Linked DNA regions of Caenorhabditis elegans. The protein of the gene in region 3 purifies or fractionates together with the protein of the main gene of each other region. This does not show direct contact. Each region holds a gene or a part of one and is shown on either strand. Other genes may lie near its edges.

Evidence for each region.
Region 1: the proteins of F13B12.4 (region 3) and C51E3.9 fractionate together in Caenorhabditis elegans (co-fractionation; one large-scale study listed by BioGRID). This does not show direct contact.
Region 2: the proteins of F13B12.4 (region 3) and lro-1 fractionate together in Caenorhabditis elegans (co-fractionation; one large-scale study listed by BioGRID). This does not show direct contact.

Annotation. Positions count from the first base shown.
Region 1 is NC_003283.11:10,144,016-10,149,633, forward strand, and holds C51E3.9 (Methyltransf_11 domain-containing protein), read left to right. Parts: upstream 1-1,937; 5' UTR 1,938-2,002; coding exon 2,003-2,008; intron 2,009-2,117; coding exon 2,118-2,207; intron 2,208-2,572; coding exon 2,573-2,664; intron 2,665-2,714; coding exon 2,715-2,817; intron 2,818-3,930; coding exon 3,931-4,024; intron 4,025-4,073; coding exon 4,074-4,198; intron 4,199-4,636; exon of another isoform or gene 4,637-4,662; coding exon 4,663-4,869; 3' UTR 4,870-4,962; downstream 4,963-5,618. Other genes in the region: srsx-26 (G-protein coupled receptors family 1 profile domain-containing protein), read left to right, coding at 5,078-5,190, 5,259-5,362, 5,407-5,618.
Region 2 is NC_003284.9:6,270,208-6,274,424, reverse strand, and holds lro-1 (Lysosome-Related Organelle protein), read right to left. Parts: upstream 2,337-4,217; 5' UTR 2,336-2,336; coding exon 2,072-2,335; intron 2,025-2,071; coding exon 1,893-2,024; intron 1,852-1,892; coding exon 1,765-1,851; intron 1,644-1,764; coding exon 1,407-1,643; intron 1,359-1,406; coding exon 1,263-1,358; intron 1,219-1,262; coding exon 1,034-1,218; intron 984-1,033; coding exon 740-983; 3' UTR 657-739; downstream 1-656. Other genes in the region: W05H9.2 (Dynein heavy chain 7, axonemal), read right to left, coding at 3,761-4,217.
Region 3 is NC_003282.8:10,443,907-10,448,448, forward strand, and holds F13B12.4 (Putative pyridoxal-phosphate dependent protein F13B12.4), read right to left. Parts: upstream 2,899-4,542; 5' UTR 2,897-2,898; coding exon 2,785-2,896; intron 2,729-2,784; coding exon 2,531-2,728; intron 2,363-2,530; coding exon 2,190-2,362; intron 1,888-2,189; coding exon 1,298-1,887; intron 1,100-1,297; coding exon 865-1,099; 3' UTR 679-864; downstream 1-678. Other genes in the region: F13B12.7 (Neprosin domain-containing protein), read left to right, coding at 188-247, 291-468, 512-678.

The sequences.
Region 1 (5,618 bases), on a different chromosome or scaffold from region 3:
AAGAAAAGGAAAATCAACTAAAGATCTTCCACCCAGCACCACGCATTCGACTCCTTTACGACGCAGTACACGCATTCGACGAGCTCCTGAAAGATATGGTTTAACTATGAAGCCGCCTGCAACCTCCAATGGGATCCCTAATGCAAAAGGTCCAGCCGCCACTCGCAACGGAAGTTCCTGAGAAAGAATCAAGGATAGAATCTGAACTTGGGATGTTAATAAATTTTTTGTGTTTGAATGTGATCACTGGCAAAGATTTCAGGTCAATCCTTACAGTTTGCAGCAATTTGTAAAAACATTTGTTAAAAAACGCTTCTGGTCGAATGTCTGCTACTGGTGGTGATCATATTGATCAAATGAATATGAGTACCTACGCGACTGGAGCACCAGGTTCAGATCTTCCGGACACTCATGATGACAATAAAGTAAGTGTGAAATGCAGAAGAATTATTAGTTTTTTTTTTCAATGTTCTGGAATCCTGGAATTGTCCGTAGTTGTAGTTGTACGAAATTTGAATTGTTCCGCGTCCAAAATAGCATCCTCTATGGGAAGCAACAGTGTTTGAAATTGTTGAATTTGAGCATGGATAGAAATAAGTTATTTGATCAGAAGCAGAACAATAAAGACCAGAAGATGCACATGAGTTTCCGTCGGCTGGAGTATAACCAGGAGTTTTAGGGTCCAAAAAGCTACTTGTTGGTCCTCTTTCAAACCAGTTATAAAATCCTCCACGGTAGAAACAGTTTGATGCATCTTGATCGGACTGATGTCTGAAATTCATCAATTTTGAAGTTTCTTGAATAGCATGGGCAAAGAAAGCCGTCAAATCTCGTTTCTTATTTTCATGCAGTATATACATCTGCAAAAATATGAAATAATCTCGAAATGTGGCAATACTTGAATTTTGAAGAAAAAATATTTACATACAGTATTGTTGACATTGATCGAAGTTCCAAATTCTGGAAAGTATCTGGATGCAATTTTGAAAACATCGTAAGAATATGGCCAGCAACTCGAAGGACCCCATCCAAGATTGGCAAATGGGAACAGGTCTTCAAACATTTCTCTCGTGAACCAGCATTCTAGTTTTGAAGCAGGAAGATTATTTGGATCCGTTGGCGGAGTGCATGATTTCGGAGGTCCATTGCCGCTTTTGGACACAATCTACCATTTCGAAAACGATATGCATACACAATAGAACAGTCTATAAAAGTGAAATTCGCATAAGTTTCTGCTTTAAAAGCTTACACGATATAAAAACAGCTATGAGTACGGAATTGATGATAATCATAATATTCAATCAACATTTGAATGTGTTCAAGTTTTGTTTAAGTACTTTTTATTTATTTTATTATTCAAAACACACATTGACGATGCATCAATTTTTAAACTTGTATAGTCGCTATAACATAGCACATTTGGCAATTATGAAAACAATTATTAAATAACACATTTTTTCAGATTGACAAATTGAAATTTTCAAACGCATGTAACCACTTTTTTCAGCGATTGATCTGCAAAGGATTCCCAGTATACACAAAAAAGTCATATTGATGGGGTTTAAAGAGAGCTCGGAGTAAAAAATCTCGAAGGCACAAATCTTCCCATATTTTGTCCAGCTGATTCAAGAAAAACTGTTTGATTCAAAGTTTGAATAATTTTTTTAAAACTCCTACTGAATTCTAAATGTCTTTAATTACTTTTCAAGATATTCATAATTCCGATATTTAACCAATAAATCTCAAGATCATTGATTTCCCACAACACGCTGTCACCACCTACACGTGTTCACCAGAAAGTCGTTTCCCAGATCGAAATTTAACAGTGTGCAAACTTCTTTCGCCGCGCTACTCCACTTGTTGCTCATCCATCTTTTCCGCTTCTTCTCATCCTCATTTTCACTCCCCCACTTGTGTTGTTTCCTCATTTCTTTCCACCAGAGCCTAGAGAAGAAGATATTTCTCGCCGTTTGTCCAGGTGTACAACAATCAACGCTTCAAGATGGTGGTCAGTTTTTTTTTCAATTTTCAAATACTTTTATCTAAACTTATATAGTGAATACACAAGAATTACACAAATCTGATTCCGTAATTGTAAAAATATGCAATTGTTACAGAGAGTAAAGTTTGGAAAAGAACAGTATGAAGCTATCAAGAAATTTGAAGTTCAGCATCACGGAGATTTCTGGAAGTTGATTATGGATAAAGTAAGTTTGATTTTAAACTTGATACTAAATCTTACAACGTATTATCCAAATAAACATACCATGTCACGGTTTTTTTAGACTTTAATTTTTTCTTTATACAATAGATTTTTAAAGGTATTATGTATAGTATTTTTTGTTACTTTTATGAAATACTCACAAAAAGAAGTAATCATAAAATAGTAATTTTTCGCTAGAAGTCACAGGTTTCTATTGGATCTTCGATGCCTTGGCGTCTAGAGCCACTAGTGCTTTGGGGCCTAGATAGAACTAAAAGTTTTACAAAGTTTTATTCTCGAATAAAATGGTTCAAATGCAATTTCTAACACACGTAAATTTTTAACCCAAAAATAAGTCTACTTTTTCAGATGGGAAAATCCGATGGTCTTTCAATCTTGGACGTCTCAGAGGAAGCTTGTTTATTTGCTTTGACTTTGGCTGAAAATCACCCAACCAACAAGTAAGCATGGGCAATAAAAGAATGGAATTAGAATATAGGTTTGTTTTCAGGCTAACAATTATGACATCGAGTGTAAGACCAACTTTCGATTTTCCTGTCAATGTCCAATATCACAAAGGGAGCATCCTGAGAAATGCCGATTCAATCGCCCAGGTGTGTTCGGAAGCGTTCTTTTTAGTTATTGAATCTCAAAGAACCAATCACATAAAAATCAAGTTAATGTGACCTATCAAATAATTGATAGAATATCGAAAGATCTGGGTTGATTGGTGTAAGTGTGTGCGTGCAGATGTGTGAGTTGCCATCTGTTATGTAACAACACATGCTCATTTTTTCTTCTCTGGAGCCGCCAAAACAGCGAAAAAGACCCGTGGTGACAAGATAATTGTGTCGTGAACCTTCGATCAGAAGATTTTTGAAGTTTACTCAGAGCCTTTTCGTTTTTTGAGGCGACGAATAAGATGGCGGATTGAATTACACGGTCTAGAGTTGAAGATGAAAAAAGCCCGCATGAAACACTCGTTAAATTAGAAGATACCGGGGTAAAGGAGACAGAGACGTTTGACCAAAAATCACTTGAATTACGTACTCCGTTGGCTTTTGACACTACTTCAAAATATATCTTAAAGTTGACAAACATTGTTTACAATTGTCAAAAACTTTTGAAAAACTCTATTATCTACAAAACGATTGATCGAAAGTTTTAGATGTTTTTCAAAAATGATAGAATGTTTAAAACTGTGAATGAATTGATAACAGCAATTAAAGATACCGTTCATTAAAAAAAACAGTTTTGTGTAAATACTTATGTATTTCAACATATGTTTAGTAATAAATTTCTAAAGGTATTGTCAATCCAAGAAATATTTTGTGCCACCTATCCTTGGAAAAATTTAAAAAAAATTATAGCAATTTCTTTTTTAAAAAATTCATGTGTTTTTTTTATTAATTTTTATATTAATCTTTAATTTTTATTACAATTCACGAATCAATCATTGAAACAATGATGTGTTAGAGTTCTACATATTAAAAAAGAAGTTGGTATTTTCGAAAGTCAACAATTATTCCTCTCCCTTTGTAGATTTTAGAAATTACTTTCAACGAATCCGTCTGATCATTTTGTAAGTGTTGAACAATTAAAAAATATTATTCACGAGTTCATGCTACAGAGTTTCTCACGCCTCCGAACAACTTGTTGCCGAACTAGTTCTACTTATATCTTTCTCAAAAATAAAAACTTCCGCCTAAAATACAATTTATTTTCAGAGTGGTCCCTTTGATCTCATTATTTTCAACGAGATTTCACACGATATTGGAGATATTGATGGATTGTTCAAAAAGCTGAAAACTCTTCTTAAAGGTTGATCGAATTCGGACGATACTTGAAGAAAATTGTTATTAACTTTTAGATGGAGGTCAAATAGTTCTCTTTTCTCGCCCCAAGAATCCACCATTGCCAGTTCCCGATATATGTCTCATGCTTTGGAGAAAACTTGCAGCTACTAAAGAGGAATTGCTTGCATCAGCAAACGCCGTAAGTGATTATTCAGCTGACTTTTTTGACTACTTAGACTTGGATTCCCACGGATCATGGGAAGATCAGTCATCAGACTAGATTACTGAGTATGATCGAAATGTTTTTGAAGCATCTCGTGATCTCAATTAAAACACAGATGGAGTACTTAGTCAGTAAGAATATAAAATTCCAGGAATTACGAGGAAATTTGATTTTAAAACACTTCCGTCAAAACCTATGCCAGTCCATTTCAGATCATAATCATCAATAAACCAACATTGTATGATTTCTAAATATGCTTGAATGTAACCAAAATTTCATTAAAAATCAAAAAGTCAAAAATAATTTAATAATATTAGTCAGCATAAACCTTTGCCAGAAATTGTTAATTAACTCTCAGTCAGCTGTCATGAATTCCCAGTTGAACCTTTTTTTTTAATAGGAATTTGGGAAAGTATTCCAAAAAAAAAAACCAATTTCAGGCTCAACTCAATTCTACATGCTTCTCTGCAGCCGTTCCAATTTCTGTCGACAAGGTTCAATGGGAGAATATTTTGTATTCCGGTTGCTTCCCAGCCGTCAAGAACACCCCAAAATGTGATGAACGTACTATTCGTGATTTCTGTGTTTCAAAGTCTGGAAAATTCGAATTCGAGGAGAAACTTTTGATCGTTATGTTACGTAAATAATTATTTGATTTTGTTATTGAATGTTTGTCTGCAGGGTTCACTTTCCCTAGTTGGTCCAATGATTGGATTTTATGAATAAACTCACGTACTCTGATCTTCTCTTTTGGTAGAAAAAGTTGCATTTTGCACGACACAATCCTGTGAAAAAACGGAAAAGTTTTCAGATTTCTGTATTCTGTTCCTTGTTTCATTCATTGATTCTATTAAAATGTTCGATCATTTGGATCTTAATTTACTTCCACTTGCGATCTTCTTTATTTTTTGTTCAACTATTGGAGTGATTGGAAATTTAATTATGATAATATGCTGCTCTGTTACAAAGTAAGTGTGGAATTTAATAATTACTGGGCATATTAAATACCGGCACTATAAAATAATTTAATTTTCAGAAGACTTCATTCTCCTTGTTATTTTTTAATATCACTAACATGCCTAATTGATGCATTTCATATTAGTGGGCAATTTCCATTCCTCATTGAATATTTCACAGGAAGTTGGTTGAATTGAATATATTCTAACTTTTTTTCAAACTTCCAGTCACATCGAGTCAATCAGAATGCTATTTTATTCTGATTCTTCCAATCGTTGGATATTGTGCAGGTGGTCCATTGATTCTAGCGATGGGAATTGATCGGTTCATTGCTGTCAAATTTCCAACATCGTATCGGTATTATCAGCAGGCTTCTGTAAAATATCTTTCAATACAGTTGGTGTTCCCCATTTTCTACACTCTATTTTTTCTTGTCTTC
Region 2 (4,217 bases), on a different chromosome or scaffold from region 3:
TCGAGCAGAATAATATGACGATAATTTACGTCATTAAAGTACAAAAAAAAATACAAACTATAACCAAAATCGTACAGTTCAGTTATAATCGAATTTGGTTTTCGGCTGTCAAGTCTCAAGTCTCCGATTGCGGAAGTTATTTTGTAATTTGACGAGTTAATAATGGCAAAGGTAAAGCAGCACCAATGAGAAATTCGAGAAACTTTTCAGAAATGTTCTGAATTGTTTAAATTTACAGATGGAATGTGGCAGTTATTCGGTTTGCAAATATTAAACCTTTGGAATTCGACAAAAGTTTTTTGAAAAACGGAAATTTTGTTTTAAAATTTGTCATCCCACCAAAAATGTTTTGAATTTTTTCAATGCGTTTTTTTCGCTGCATGTAAGATTAATGTAAATGAGTTTAAACAACGTGCATACGGCAACGTGCATTGCCTTTAAAACATTCCAAAATCAAAACTTTCATTAAAAACTTCCGTTGAGATTGTTTAGAAAATTGGTTCCCTTCTTAATTTTCAATACATATGTATTCTTGAAATTATTTATTTCGTTTTTTGAAAATGTTTGAAGTTGACGTGGCATTATAATTTTTGGTTCCCAAATTTTAACACTAACAGGCTCCCTTAATTTGTTTTGTTTTTAATAATAACCAGGATCAATCAAAAAATTTATACGTGAAAAATGGCAAAACAATGTGCAAACAATTTTATAATACAATCACATGGTTATCGAACAAAGTTTAAAACTGCTGTTCTTCTTTGGCAGGAGCCAGTGGTAGAGCAGTTATTGGAGTTGCTGGTGGTGGAAGAAGTGGGGCTCTTTCTGATGTTGGATTGTAAACCTGGTTGTTGCCGTCGAGCCGTTCGTAGACAGAGCGTTGTTTGACTTGATAAACAATGATAATGATTAAGGCGATTGAAAGAAGGATGCACAGAGCAAGAAGAACCCAGGTTACAGTCTCCCATGCAGCTTTTCCGGTGATTCTGAAAATCGTGATTTAGGTATTTCTCGATGCTAATAGTAAGTAACTAACTCGTCAAGAATTGTTGCTTTCGGAGCAATATCAACGGGGATCTCATTAACCGGTGGTGGGGCTCCAGCTTGTTCAACTTTCTTCTCGTTCAAAACTTCTTTCAAGGCTGCCTTGTCAAGTTGACCCTGAAGCTTGTCCGAAATTTGGTTGGCCATCTTATCCTTAACACCTTGCCCGATTAGATCCTGATATCAAAAATTGCATGAAGACATTAAAATCCCTAAATTACCTGAATAAGATCCGAAAGTTCATCCTTCTTCTGCTCATATGTTTTTGCCTGATCACCAACATTCTTCCCCTGCTGCTCAATATCAGCAAGTTTATCCTGAAATCAAGATGGGAAATCAGTTGGAAGACATTGCCAAAAACTCACATTGATCTGTTGCTTTAAAGCTTCATGATTTTCTCTTTGTTCGCCAAGCCGTTGATTTTTCTCGTCAACGCGACGCTTCACCTCAGCAGTTACCAGCTCTTTGACTTGAGCCAAATCGGTTTTCAATTCCTCCAGTTTCTGTTTTCTTCTTTCATCAAGCTTTTGTTTGGCTGCATCGATTTGTTGCTTCAACTCTTCTCTTTGTTGTTGAAGCTTCTCAGAGGCTTGCTTCCATTTCTAGAATAAGATGAGCATTTATAAAGAAAAACCAAGTAGTAGTTAGTAATATCTTAATACAAATAAAGCGTCATTACTTCAAATTCTTATTTCAATTTTTTAAATAAATTGTGATTTATACCTCAATTTGCTCCTGCCTCTGTGCTTCTTTTTCTTCTTGTTTTTGCTTGATTTTGTCCGTAAAAGTTTTCACAAAATCATCAATTTTCTGAAATAATAATCCAAAAAATTTAAAATTTAAATAGTAACCTGTTGTTTTTCTTGCTCCTTGGCTTGTTTCTTTTCCTTAACTGACTCGACGAATTCTCCAACTTGTTGAGAAACCTCCTTCCATTTCTCGATCGCTGCTTCGGCTTCCTTTTTCTTGGCTTCAGCTTTTTCCTGAAAAAAATCATAAGAAAACTGATATTTAAATTTTGATTTGTGACCTGTTTCTCCTTTTCCAATTCATCGGCTCTCTGCTTAACTGCATCAGATACCTTTGAAAGCGTTTCGTTCAGTTTCTTCTGAGTCTCTTCCCGGTATTTGTCTCTTGCTGCTCTCGCATTTTCAAAATTAACTCTCAGTTCTTCTTCCAATGCCTTTTCCGTATCAATTACTGACTGGAAGGTGTCAGCAAGGGAGTAGTAGCGAACGGATGAAACGCTCGACGCAAAAAAGACAAGCAGCAGTGCAACTGAGAATGTTCTCATTCTAAAATGTTAATGATAAAAATCAATACAGAACTTATCAAATTGTAAAAAGAAAAACCCAGAGTGACTGTTCAACTGTCAGACAAAAAGAAAAGAGCCACCAATTGTGTGGGGTATCTTATCAATTGACTGATAGTTGGCTACAAATTAACGTCCGCCCAGTATGTTGTTGATGATGGAGAACGAGCAAATAAACACAATGACAATTAGAATCATAAGATTGATCTGAAATTGGTGTCTTTCATAATGAGCATGCTCGTGATACAAACTTGGAATTTATGTCAATATAATTTTGAGCTTGTTGTGCAAATAGGAAATTTCAAATCAATTTTTGAAAAGTTTTGCATTTGCTCATTTCTAAAAAGTGCATGACAAAGGCCGTAATTGTTGGATGTTGGATACCGTTTGCTATTTCAAAAATTACCTATTAATTTGAGGTTTGAGACATTTGAACTTGAATACTGAGCATTCTGATATAAAAAACATCTATTCGATTTAAAATCTTCAGAAATTTTGAAACTTTATATTTTCGGCAATGCTCATTTTCGGGCCCAAATTGCCGAAATTACTAATGAAATTACATTAGCAGTTGCAGCACTTTTCAGGTTCAAACAAAACATTCCGAAACTTGGCACGCGAGTTGAAGCCTGTTAACTTTAATTCACCAGTTTTAAGTTTGCACAATGTGAAAAAATGTGAATATGTTGATACACTGAAAACATAAGAAAAATTTTGACATAAATTACTTGAAGTCAATAAATTATTGAAAACTAATCTTGCTAATCCTAAATGAACTGCTTATTTCAGATCGAAAACTGACTTATTTTAACTTTTCTTAATATCCATTCGAACTAAAAATAAACGTGTCATGTGAATTAGTTCTAATTCGAGACTTGTAAAATATTTTACAGTCAGAATATTCAACTTTCAATATAACTCCACATTTCCAAACTGATCAAGAATTAGTAACAAGAATTAGTAATAAACATCTGAATTTATGAATTTCCGACGTAATAAATTTATTTTTGCATTCTATTTCAAAGTAATAACAAATCATTTTTGGGGTACCAAAAACTTGATTCGTAAATCGTACTTCAGTGCGCCAAACACTTTGGAACGTTGACCAATGGATGTTGTCATGAAACAATGGGAAAGAGTATGGAACAAAAGAGGAAATGATAATAAAAAGCTCACTAGGTCTTTGGTTTCAATAAGCCTAACCGGACAATATAAAATTAGACACATTTGAAGATGGGGGTGTATGATGAGTTTGGAAATGTGGTATCCGATAAAATTATACGTCTACAAATTTCGTGGGGAATTATGGTAAATTTTTTGAGCATGAAATACGTTGTGATGAGATTTTGAGGAAACAAAAGAATGTAGAACAAAAACAAAATGATATTCAATCAGCGAAAAAAGATATTAATCAAGTGGGATATTCAAATATGGTGCAGACATATCCGGCTCCATGTGCACTCTGCGAACATTGCGAATGAAGTTATCAATCACGTCATCTGGAACGCGATCGTCTTCTACGTCACCTTCATTCTCCACGAAGATGACATTTCCATTCATAGAAAACGTATTGAGAAGGAATGCAACTCTGGCGGCCTCCTCGGGATCAAATTGACGCTCAACGCCGTCCTCCTCTTCTTCATCTTCCTCTTCATCTTCATCATCATCATCGCTTTCCAATTCTACATTTCGTCTAACCCGACGACGTCCGACATTTGGTCCTTCATCTGTTGCGTAATCCGATCCGGTTTCCGAGCCAGTCTCTTCAGATTCTCTACCCTCTTCGGAGCCTTCAGCTGTGTCTTCTGGAAGATCGTCTTCTGGAATTGGTGTTGGAGTTCTTACACGGCATCTAGACGGCGGG
Region 3 (4,542 bases):
ACTGGACACAAGGCGGGCGGGCGTTTTCATTGCTAAAACTTCAAAAAACAATTACAATTGTCGGCAGCATTTTTCATTGCAAATTATCTATTGTAAAACATTTTTGCATACTAATGTAATTTGCACTCAGATAGCAATCAAACTATTCGAGAAAGATCCGAATGAAGTTAACATATTGACTTCCTTAATGAGAACGGGAGATATTCCTAAATTTGTTTCCAAGACAACTAGAATGTACCGTATTCAAGTGAGTTAAAATTTTCGCCATGTAAGTAAAGTCCGCATTTCAGAACGAAGTTTGCAACAAAACTGAAATATTTCAATTTTCGATCGGAAATAAAGTTGTCAGCTGTCCTCTTTACGATGGGTTGGCTTTTCTTGACAATAATTCAACACATATTGTGCAATGTCCAACATATTGTGAAGTTTGCAAGAAAATGTTCATTTGTTCGAAAAGATCATTGACAGGTCAGTTTTTAGAACTTTGAAAAATCACAATTTCTGTTTTCAGGAATCATCTACACACCGGATGGTCGCAAAAAAGATTCAATTGATTTTCAATATGGTTTTCTTGATCAACCTGTTGTTCGCGGCGTCGACTGGTCAATTTTTGTTGTGTATATTTTCATATTTGCCTTATGTGCAAATATTATAACTTTTGCGTTTTCAGATAATTAAATAATAAATAGTTTATTCAATTAAACTTGAATACAGATCAAAGCAAGCACAAAACTCATGCACGGGAATAGACTTAATCACTGGAACTATGAGTTCTATTTTCGAAAAAAACAATCTAATTTAAAATTGATCAATTACGAACCTGTACAATACGGAGAGACACAAAAACACAGAAATGCAAAACAGTTAAACTTTAAAAGCTCCTGGACACATAGTGAGACCTTTCGAATAGAAATCAGAACCCGTATCAATTGATTCTTGAATCAGCTTTTTCCAACATTCCATTCCCATAACACCTCCAAACTTCTTGAAACTTTTCTCGACCCATTCGTTGTTAAGGTACGTACTACGGTAGAAATCTCCTGGGTCACAAGCCAGTGTAACAATCGTAAGACGATGCTTGATAGCAGATTTTCTGGCTCTGAAAATTGTGTTCATCAAGATTTGATAGCCAAGGTATACGCAAGGTATATTGATACGCTTGCGTAAACTAAACTATTAAAACATATTTTTTAACGCAAAAATTTAAATGTACTAGTAAACGCTTAAGTCGTCAAAAGACAACGAATAAATACTCTAGACGGATTAGTTTGCAATGATGTCAGTTTGAATTACTTACTTGTTCTGATAGGCTTTGTAAAGAGAAACAAGGAAGTTGAGTGATGTTGACGGTCCCACATTATAACCTTTTTCATCGAGAATTCTCATTGTAGCTACTGATGCAATATCAGGCATTTTCATGGCTTCATGGATTACATTTCTTGTTAAACTTGTTGTTTCTCCGTACCACACTGGTTCAATATCATATCCGTAACCAATTCCAGCAATCCCTGGAGGTGTCCAAATACCTGCACCAGATTGATTTGTGAATTTATGTCCAATTACATAATCGTAGAATAAAGAGTATTGAGAATCGGAGAGTACGACTTTTGTAGGTGCTCCATATCTAGCGACATATCTGCCAACTGACGAAATAGTTCCACCGGTTCCTGCTGAATGAACAAAGTAGTCAGGGATTTTGACAATTTGCTCTTTGTCCTTTTTGAGTTGAACAATAATTTCATGATAGACATTTGTGGACTCAAAATAAAAGTCTCCACTTTCATGGAATTCTTCAGCTTTTTCAGCGTTTCCAAATTGATTCATGTAGAATCCGTGGTTTTTGTCGGCGAATTCCTTAGCTTTTGCATTGCGAAGAGCCACAGGAACCTGAAACAAAGCAAAACTTACAATAATTTTTTTTATTTTTCTGCTTCTTTCTCGACATTTTCCAACTTTCTTAACAACGCTTCCCTCATCTTTAAAAATTTTAACGCGAAATTTCACACAATAAAAGTTGTTTCTCTATAAAGAAATTTTATAAGAAATTGGCGTTGAGTTGAATGAGAAAGTTTTGGGGTTAGAGTTCTTAAAAACTGGAAAAACTTTGGCTAACTCAAAAAATTGGTCAATATTAAATGAAAATTAAACCAAAAATACTGTATGTGACTCTGTGTAAGTAGAAGAAGTACCTTGATAATTTTTCCTCCGAAACTCTCAATTTGCTTGACTTTCTCCTTTTCCAAATTATCAGCAACGACAGCATAGTATGGGACATTGACTAAAGTACACATGTAGGCTTCAGCAGACCCAGTATTACCAGATGTTGAGTCGTAGACAGCGGATGTTTTTGAAGTCACTTTTCCTGGAAATTTTAAAATTTGCAGAAATTTTTTTTGAGAAATGTTATTTATTTAACGTTTCTGGACTAGCTTACTCATAGCTCTCATACTCATAGCTTAGCAGTAAAAAACCTGCAGAATATAAGTTTTCGCAGATACACTGTACTTCACCAATTAAATAACATACTAACCTTCTGTAATAGCCCAAAGAAGAAGAGCCCATGCAAATCTGTGCTTCAACGTTCTCGTAGCTGTGGCAGTTTCATTTTTGAAGAAAATGTCGGCGTTCGGGAAACCAGGGGGACTGAATTTTGTCATTGGTGTGTGTCCCATCTTTCGTCGTTCATTCCATAATTTTTGAATTGCTCCGAGCCTCCATTTTGCTTCATCTAAAAATATTTTATGTTTATTGAATTAAAAAGACCTTGAGAAAAAAAAAACTAACAATCAGGTACAGCATCCTCATTCGGAATTCGACTTTCAGAAATTTTTGTTATATCTTCTGCAAGGCAACTTGCGGATATGCTCAGAAACAGAGCCAGAAGAAGTAGTTTCATGGCTGAAAACGATGAATTAAATTTGTGATTGATGTATCAATTGGAATTTTCTTTTATAAGTCCGGGGTCACGCCCACAAGTACAGTAGGAAGATTGAAATTTCGAACGCAATGAAGAGCATGACCACGCCCACAAATTAATGAAAGAGCACAGTTTCCGGAGTCAAACAACTATTATAGTATACATGGTTCATGGAGTGTTTAGAAAGTGAACTTTATAAAAAACTTGAAATGAAAAGTAAACATTAAAAAAATAAGTGATGCGACTATTTATGAATCTAAGTTTTCTTTTTGCAAGAGTTCCGGTTTCAATGATAAGCTGATCAAAATTAAACTCATTTCTTATATGACTTGAAATGATACTCATTTTGAAATAGTGCTTCAAAACAAAAAATAATACCTGGACAATACAAAATTCTCTAATTTTTGAAATGTAGAAATTAAATTTTTCTTAAACTCTGCTAAATGTCATAGGAAGCTTTCTATTCAAAAAATTGCGCGTAAAAGGATATTTTCTAAAATAATATATAGTAAATTTAAGGTTGGTAAAAAGAACTGAAAGATAACTTTTTCATGAGACTGTCTGTCCGCGTGCAAGGCGATATATGCCTGCCCCGTGCCTACTGCCAAAATACACGATAATCCATTTTTAAGTTTCAGTCGAAATTTAAACGCTAGAGAGTTTCAAAACCTTCTCGGCAATTCGGCACCACTTTTATACAAACTTTCCGCACTTTTAATATATATAAGGCTCGAACATTTTTATTATATTGAATTTCCCATAATTGTTTAGAAATAAATCCGCCAGTCCCAAAATTGTTGCATAAATTTGGATATGAAGGTTATTTGCAAAACGATAAAAATCTTTGAAGACACTGAATAAACGAATAACACCCAGATTTGGATCTTCCTGTGGAGATTTGAAAGTTCCCCAGAAAACCTAAAAAACAAAAATATAAAATCATGGTTACAGTAGCCTGAGCTACCCTCCAAGTGTTCTTTTCCTTGCAACTAATGCTTTTAAAGCACAATAAAGATTCGTTCGTTAATTTCTTTGTTTTACGTATTTTGTTCAGTCCAAGTAAACCAAGAATCGGAGCTGATCACTGATGTCTGGTTGTCTCTAGATCAGTTTCTTGCCATTTTTCTAAAAATGTCAAGTCAAAAAAATTTTGATTTGAATTTAGATTCCGGAAACCGGAAGCAGTTTATACTAAGATGATTTGATTTAATTAAAACTACTACATACACTACGGCTTCTCAAATTTTGTTTCAAATCGCATCATCTTCTGAAATGATATCATTTTGAAGCGGTATACAAATTAAAATGAAGCATGTAGGTCAAATGATGTCATATCTTTCTTGCACCTTTGTCTTAATTCATTTTAAACTCATAGAAATTATTGAAGAGATTAGTCTGGAAAAGTATGATGTGTTACTGCTTTCAAACAAAAGATTTGCCAATTGTAAGAGAACAAGGAAATAAACAAAAAAGAACAATTTCAGTACGTCAAGAGGTTTAAATGTTGCAAATTAATTAATTTGATTGCAGAAAAACATCTGTTCGTTTTCAATCTAGAGTAAAGGTTTTAAATTTTGACTACATTACTTTCTAGAAATTTAAGAGTTTTTAAAAATTTAACTCAA